Linked DNA regions of Schizosaccharomyces pombe. The protein of the gene in region 2 interacts with the protein of the main gene of each other region in a pairwise test. Each region holds a gene or a part of one and is shown on either strand. Other genes may lie near its edges.

Region 1 (3,802 bases), 1.0 Mb from region 2:
CTCCCGTTACTGTCGATAAGGAGAAGGTTCGTCAGGCGATTGTCAATTCGATGGAGAATCTCATCAAAGCAGAGCCTAAAATTACAAAGTTCGATACGATGGCTGGTGATGGTGACTGTGGTACTACTTTGAAGCGTGGTGCTGAAGGTGTTTTGAAGTTTGTTAAATCCGACAAATTCTCTGACGATCCTATTCGTATTGTTCGTGATATCGCAGATGTTATTGAAGACAATATGGATGGTACATCTGGTGCTTTGTACGCCATTTTCTTCCATGGCTTTGCGAAGGGCATGAAAGACACCTTGGAGAAGAGCAAGGACATTTCATCTAAGACATGGGCTGCTGGTTTGAAGGTTGCTCTTGATACTCTTTTCAAGTATACTCCCGCTCGTCCTGGTGACAGCACTATGTGTGATGCTCTTGTTCCATTTGTCGAAACATTTGTTAAAACTAATGATCTTAATGCTGCCGTAGAGGAGGCTCGTAAAGGTGCTGATGCTACTGCAGATATGCAAGCCAAACTTGGACGTGCTGTCTACGTTGGTGATGATGTTAAAGTTCCCGATGCCGGCGCTCTTGGTGTCGTTGCAATTGTCGAAGGATTTACGAAATAATTGGATACGAAATTTTTTTGGGATTGTAGAATTGGTATGATCTTAAAAACTATTTACGAGCACGAATAACAATTATATTTTCATTATGCATGCATTAATTATTGCTTACTTATCTTTGCATCTGTATTTGTATATTCATGCATTATAATAAGTAATTTTTTAATTAAAACAGTTGAGAAAGGACGAGTGTAGATATTGTATGAACACGCTGCTGTAATAAATAAAAGAACGACAGAAATTGTATGGGAATATTAGACACAGGCATTAAAGAAGAAACAATACACTTTATTCAGAAATGGTCCCTCCTAGATAAGGGCAAACCATTTTTGAATTAAACCCAATTGGACAAGAATTGTTAAATAGACTGTGCATATTATTCAAATTTTTTTTTCTGAATCTCGTTAGAGCTTTTTAATAAGGTCTTTACAGTACTTTATTTGCTCTTCATCAGACATGAATTCGCAATTTCTGATAGCTGTACAAATGAGGACCGTAGTAGAAAGATTTTCAGAATTGACCCAAACGCGACCATTCATTCCAACAGCAATTTCGAAAGGAATGTAGCTTCCTAGGGTCTGTAAAAGTGTATTTTTAGGAAGGATCAACTTCCTACAATGAGATAAAGATAAACCTGTTATCATATAACCGTTTTTAAGTTCACCATATCCTGCAGCTTTCCCTGTGGTAGCATCGAAACATTCTAACTCCGGTTCCATATCACGATCAGCGAGTGATACTCGAGCATACACAAGGCTTCCAACATTTAAATTGGGCCTACTTTTACGAGTCACATTTTCAAAAGCCAATGCATTCAATTGAGCAATATGAGCTGACCCAATATCTACTCGATAACCTTCCGCAAATCTAGAAATAATTTGCCCAATAACTTGATCATTTGTAGCAGGAATATATCTTTTTGTCCGTGAGTCTATCAACATAGCATTTTTTCCAGTTTGATGCAACCTCCCAGCTTTTGAGACCACTATTTCTTCTTCACGGTCTTTCTTTTGAAAGACTAAACCAGGACCTAAACGAATTGATCCATCCTGACTAATTATGGAGTCTGGTATCCGCTCACCAGGAAAGTAATAAGATAACAGACCTTTTTCTTCAACTTCAGCCATTTGGTTAACAGAAGAAAATTAGCTATTTGGGGTTTGATTTTTCGCGAGTTATACACTATAATTCGAGGATTAATGTCTTGGACGGTAAGTGTGTCTAAACTAATACTGTAAATCTCGTTAATTTTATAAATCACATTAGCCCAGACTGTGAAAAATAACGCAAACGTACATTGTGCTATAATGCTGTTTACGAGGATTTTCTGTATGTATGTCGTTAATAGGGATATCGAATTTAATCACATCGTAAGCAGACGTAGTTGTATTTGTATCATCTCAGTACGCGCTCTCATCTAACAAATGCACATAGTAAACACATGTTTGGATGACACTTACTCATCATTCCACGTTCATAAAAGGGATAGAGGGTTCTGCTGAAGGAGAGATAGAAGATGTAAGGCAAACTACTGTTTTTGATCCTCCGTTTTACGGACATCCGATGTTGGTTCCACCGTCGCCATCTTTGACTACGATGTTTCGAACGAGGTCTACAACGCCTGATGAAGAGGGAACTGCCATTGCAGAAATTGATCAACAAGATTGGGATATAATGGTAAAAGTTCCTACTTATGAGTATTACGGGTTCGTGATGTATTTGGTGTCAATGTTGGGGTTCGGCGTGTATATTGTTTGGGCTCTGACGCCTGCGCCTGTTCTCAAATTTTTTGAGATTCATTATTATCTATCTCGTTGGTGGGCTCTAGCTATTCCTACTTGGTTATTTGTTCTTGTTATTTACATTCACGTTGTGCTAAACGCTTACAATACCGAAGTATTGACTAAGCCATTTAGCAGCTTAGAATGTATCGTTGATCAATACGCACTCGTTGGTGAAGAAGATGGTGCTGCTCATGGTCGAGTTGTTGATCTTCGCCTATGTGATGTGAATAAACAACAACTGGAAGAAACTTAAAAAAGACTAAAAGCAGCTAAGTGATATCAGAATTCATTTTCTCCTTAAAAATCTTCATTATTTAAGGGACTTATTATCTATTGATGTCGTCGACCCATACAGATTTACTTTTAAATCCTGGTTTCCTTAAGTTTCACAATCAAAAAGTATATGTAAATGTATAATATTATAAGAAGGTTGATTAATGCTCTAGTCCTACTACTCCAACCTGCATACTCAAGATTAGATGTTTTTTATATTCCGCTAATAATATACCTAAGAGTTGTTCGTAAACAAAATGTTTTCAGACAAATAATTAGCTATACGAACAAAACACACCAAAACAAGTAAATGAATAGAAGAGAAGTAAAAACAGTATATCTCTTTTTAATAGTTTGACGAGAGTCGTTATTCCCAGTCATCATCGTCTTCATCATCGTCATCAACTTTTCTATTTGCTTCATCCTTCACCTCAAGAGAACTTTGAGAAGCTTCTATATTACTGGAAGATGATACTTTATTTTCCTCTTCTTCTTTAACTTCTCCATCAACCTCTCCATCATGGCTTGCGGGTTGAGTTTCAATTTGTAAGCCTTTTGAAACTGCTGACTCCAAATCATTGACGGTTTCATCTATCACTTCAGCTGCTGAATTATTCTCAGTAGTATCTTCTTCACTTGATTGCTTTTTTTCATCATTAACCTGTTCATTGTCACTTTCTTCTTCATCACTTCTTTCATCTCCCCAACTAAAAATTTCTTCTTCATCGTTTCCTGATTGAATTGCCTTTATCGGCTGTACAACCTCTTTATGCCAAAAAAATCGTTTCCAAAAATCATCATAAGAAACTTCAGAAGGTACTAAAGATTCCATCTGTTTCCTTAAATCAGGATATTCTTCCAAAAGTAAAGAGATCTCTTCAGTTTTCCCATCAATGGAAATTTCTTTTTCCCAGCTTTCAAACGTGATCCCATGAGAGGGTTCAGAGATAATTTGGGTAAAAGTATTTTCGTTTTGAACAAGTTCCAACAACTGTCTCTCGTGGCGATTTAAGAAAACAGACGAAGAGGCTTCGTGTGTAGGAGTCGATACATCGTCTTCTTTGGGTGATATCTGCAATGCTTGATCCAAAAAACCATTCACTGTAGATCCGAAGCCACTCCAGAAACTTCCTG
Region 2 (3,673 bases):
AAGCAGCTGCCAAAATTACGACATTTTTTGTGCCAGCAGTAAAAGGTTCTAAAGTCGTAGAGTCACAGATTTCCAGTTGATCGGGAATGAATCTACAACGTGATAGCTCAGTATTAGTTTCTGCAATCAACTTCTCTAAGTCGCCATTGCCATTACTCAACTCTTGGGCTAATTTTTTCAAAATTTTATATAAATTGGGAGCGATTTTTCTCTCTTCGGAAGTTAAGTAGCCATTTCGAGAACTAAGTGCAAGTCCATCATCTGCGCGCACAATTGGCACTTGAATTATTTCAATAAAGAAATTCAAATCGCGGACCATTTTTTTAATGATGGCTACTTGTTGAAAATCCTTTTCACCAAAGCAGGCTACGTCCGGATTTACGATGTGAAAAAGCTTGCTAACCACTGTAGTAACGCCACGAAAATGGCCTGGTCGACTCGCACCTTCAAGCATGGTGGACAGCTTAGGGACGTCGACAAAAGTAATGTCTTGAGACCCTTCCGGATATAACTCCTCAACAGTTGGAGCATAAACCAGATCGACTCCCAGGTTTTGCAGCTGAGAGCAATCTTGGTCCATGGTTCGAGGATACAAGAGTAGGTCTTGTGGATTATTGAATTGCATTGGATTTACGAAAATACTGACAACAACCTTTTCGGCATGTCTTTTGGCTTCACGAACTAGAGAAAAATGCCCTTCATGGAGATTTCCCATGGTGGGAACAAAAGCAATTCGATTTCCATCTTTTCGCCAATTATCTACTTGCTGATGAATCAGGAGCTTCTCTTTAAGAACCTGCATGCTCAAAATATCCAGAAATTTTGTATTTTATTTATTGGAAACTGTGTTCTTCAGCAGGGTATAGACCTTGTTCTACTTCGTAGATGTAACGTTGGATAGCCGTGCGAATGTCCCCAGCCCCGGACAAAAAATTCTTAGCAAATTTGGGTGGGCGGCCTCCAGTAATTCCTAAAGCATCATGCATGACAAGTATTTGGCCATCAGTATGCTTTCCGGCTCCTATCCCGATAGTGGGTATGGATATAGTTTTAGTGATTTGTTCAGCTAGTGACTCTGGAATACATTCTAAGACGAGCAGCTGCGCACCAAACTTTTCCAACTGTTGTGCATTTTCAATTAAGCGTGCTGCTGCAGACTGTTCCCTACCCTGTATTTTATAACCTCCAAAAATGTTTACAGACTGAGGAGTCAGGCCAAGGTGTCCAGCAACAGGGACTGATCGTTCTGTAAGTCTTTGTACAATTTCAAAAATCCAATTCCCTCCTCCTTCTATTTTAACTATATTTGCACCTGCACGCATTACAGTAGCCGCATTTTTACAAGCATCCTCCCATGTACTGTAACTCATAAATGGAAGGTCAGCCATCAAGAGGCGATTAGGGGCACCTCTTCGAACACTTTTTGTATGATATGCTATGTCTTCTACTGACACTGGTAATGTAGTACTATGACCTTGAGCAGTCATTCCAAGGGAGTCACCGACGAGCATTACAGGCATCCCCTGTTCTGCGAAAAGTCGTGAAAAACTGGCATCATATGCTGTAATACAAGCGAATTTTTTATTTGCTAGTTTCCATTGACGAAGAGTGGATATAGTTATTTGCTTTAATGACATTTTTTGTTATTCCTTTTCATAAGGTGGTACGTCTGTAAAACAAGTCTAGCACAATTCAACCCAGATATTTTCTAATATGTTAAAAACAAGTAATGCATATTAAAAAATGGACTCTTTACTTTAAAAATAATAATACTTATAAGAGAAATTCTTGCTTAGGAAACCTCTTGCTCACATACTTTGAATATGTCTATGAAAAAGTAAAAATCACTGTGATCCTCCAGTTAAAGCATTTAACATACATGGTTACTCTGGTTTATTTACATACGATTCATATAACCTACAAAGAATTACAACCTTTGAAATTCGTTTGTCCAATTGCAACGGATTTTTATTCGCAAACTAAAATAGCTACCTGTTTAAAAACAACTATTTTAATATTTGAATAGATATCCCATTTGATAGTGGTCGTTCCTAAAACAAAGTCATTATTTTCGCAAATTTTTTAAGATATCAATGTTTAGTAACACAAGCAACTTATTTTACTGCTCTCTTGTTACTCATATTCATGTCGAATGTATAACATTTTTAAGTACAAAAATCATTGAAATTGCTAATTTTCCGTTTGTATACCAAAAAACGGCTTGAAACAACTTTGGAGTATTTTCGCATCAATCCACTTTGCAATAATCCCTCTATTTGAATTGTGCTAGTGTGTTTCATAGTCATACAGAAATATGTTGATCAGCTTCATGTCTGTAAACTCATTATTTGAATTCTTATGATGAATCGTCAGTTGGTAAACACAACTGCGAAATACCGATATTGGAGATCATTGACAAAAGGCTAAGCTGACAAGTATCTGTAAATGAAAAAATTTAGGCGCATTCTCGATTTTTCTGTATTCCTTCAAGGTCAATCAATCCAATTGTTTTAATCATTTCCCAATCTCACTCCTGCGAATAATATAGTAGTGCTATTGGTGCGGCTGCATGCCTATTGATTGATCCACGCACGTGGTAACTCTGCTACAGGGCTACAAGTCCGTTCATCTATTTCAATTCCTCCTAAACTTCATACACAAAAAGATTTATAAGATCTTCACTTCTTTTGTGAAGTTTTCAATTTTATTATTTTCCTTTTGATATTCAAGGTATTTTCGTCTTTAGCGCTACCTAATAAATTTTTTTTGATCAAAATTCTCCATCAGGTCTGCTCTTTTCTTTGATACACACCAGGATGGCTGTTCAAAAGTTATATGAATCGCAGAGTAAATTGTTTCAGCCCATTAAGGTTGGTAACATGCAACTTCAACATCGAATGGTTCACGCACCGGCTACCCGTCTACGATGCTTAGATAATGGCCTTGTAATGACAGATCTTGTGAAGGAATACTACAAGCAACGCAGTTCGATTCCTGGCACATTACTCATTACAGAATCATTATTTTCAGGCGCAAAGTCGGGAGGCTTTAGTAATATCCCTTGCTTGTACAACGATGAACATGTAGAAGCTTGGAAACCAATTGTACAGGCGATCCATGACAATGATTGCTTTGTGTTTATACAGTTTTGGAACCTTCCTGGAGAGCTAAAGGTCGATTATCTTGAAGATCAGGAAAGGTTGGAAAAAGTTACACAAGGGGAATGCCCAATGGATCCTACCGGATTGCCTGCTGCTCTAGGCAGTGCCTACTCTATTTGTGGAGAGGAGCTGTATGTCGATAAATTTATGACAAAACAAGATATACAGGAACACATCACAACGTATACTGAAGCAGCGAAACGAGCTGTTTTCGGTTGTGGTGCAGATGGTGTTGAAGTTCATCAAGTGAATGGATTTCTTTTGGACAAATTTGTACTAAACGGCTATGGTGACAAATGTGATCCGGAATATTGTGGGTCTTTAGAAAATCGTGCTAGATTTTGCCTTGAACTTCTAGAGTCTGTCGTGAATGCCATAGGTCAAGAGCGCGTTGGATATAGGATTTCTCCGTTTTCAGATATTTGGAAAGACAAGGATTCTTTTGAGGCACACGTGTTTATGATAAAAAAAATAAAGGAGAGGTTTCCTAATTTGGCCTATTTACATGCTAT

What was found.
Region 1: the proteins of ecm31 (region 2) and rrp40 interact in a two-hybrid assay, tested with the Schizosaccharomyces pombe proteins (one large-scale study listed by BioGRID).

The regions. Positions count from the first base shown.
Region 1 is NC_003424.3:1,178,194-1,181,995, forward strand, and holds rrp40 (exosome subunit Rrp40), read right to left. Parts: upstream 1,748-3,802; 5' UTR 1,739-1,747; coding exon 1,016-1,738; 3' UTR 663-1,015; downstream 1-662. Other genes in the region: dihydroxyacetone kinase Dak1, read left to right, coding at 1-614; mug84 (pig-P phosphatidylinositol N-acetylglucosaminyltransferase subunit), read left to right, coding at 2,061-2,648; SPOM_SPAC22A12.14C (BSD domain-containing protein), read right to left, coding at 3,036-3,802. UniProt on the Schizosaccharomyces pombe protein: Non-catalytic component of the RNA exosome complex which has 3'->5' exoribonuclease activity and participates in a multitude of cellular RNA processing and degradation events.
Region 2 is NC_003424.3:160,144-163,816, forward strand, and holds ecm31 (3-methyl-2-oxobutanoatehydroxymethyltransferase), read right to left. Parts: upstream 1,674-3,673; 5' UTR 1,638-1,673; coding exon 834-1,637; downstream 1-833. Other genes in the region: pan6 (pantoate-beta-alanine ligase), read right to left, coding at 1-802; SPOM_SPAC5H10.10 (NADPH dehydrogenase), read left to right, coding at 2,817-3,673.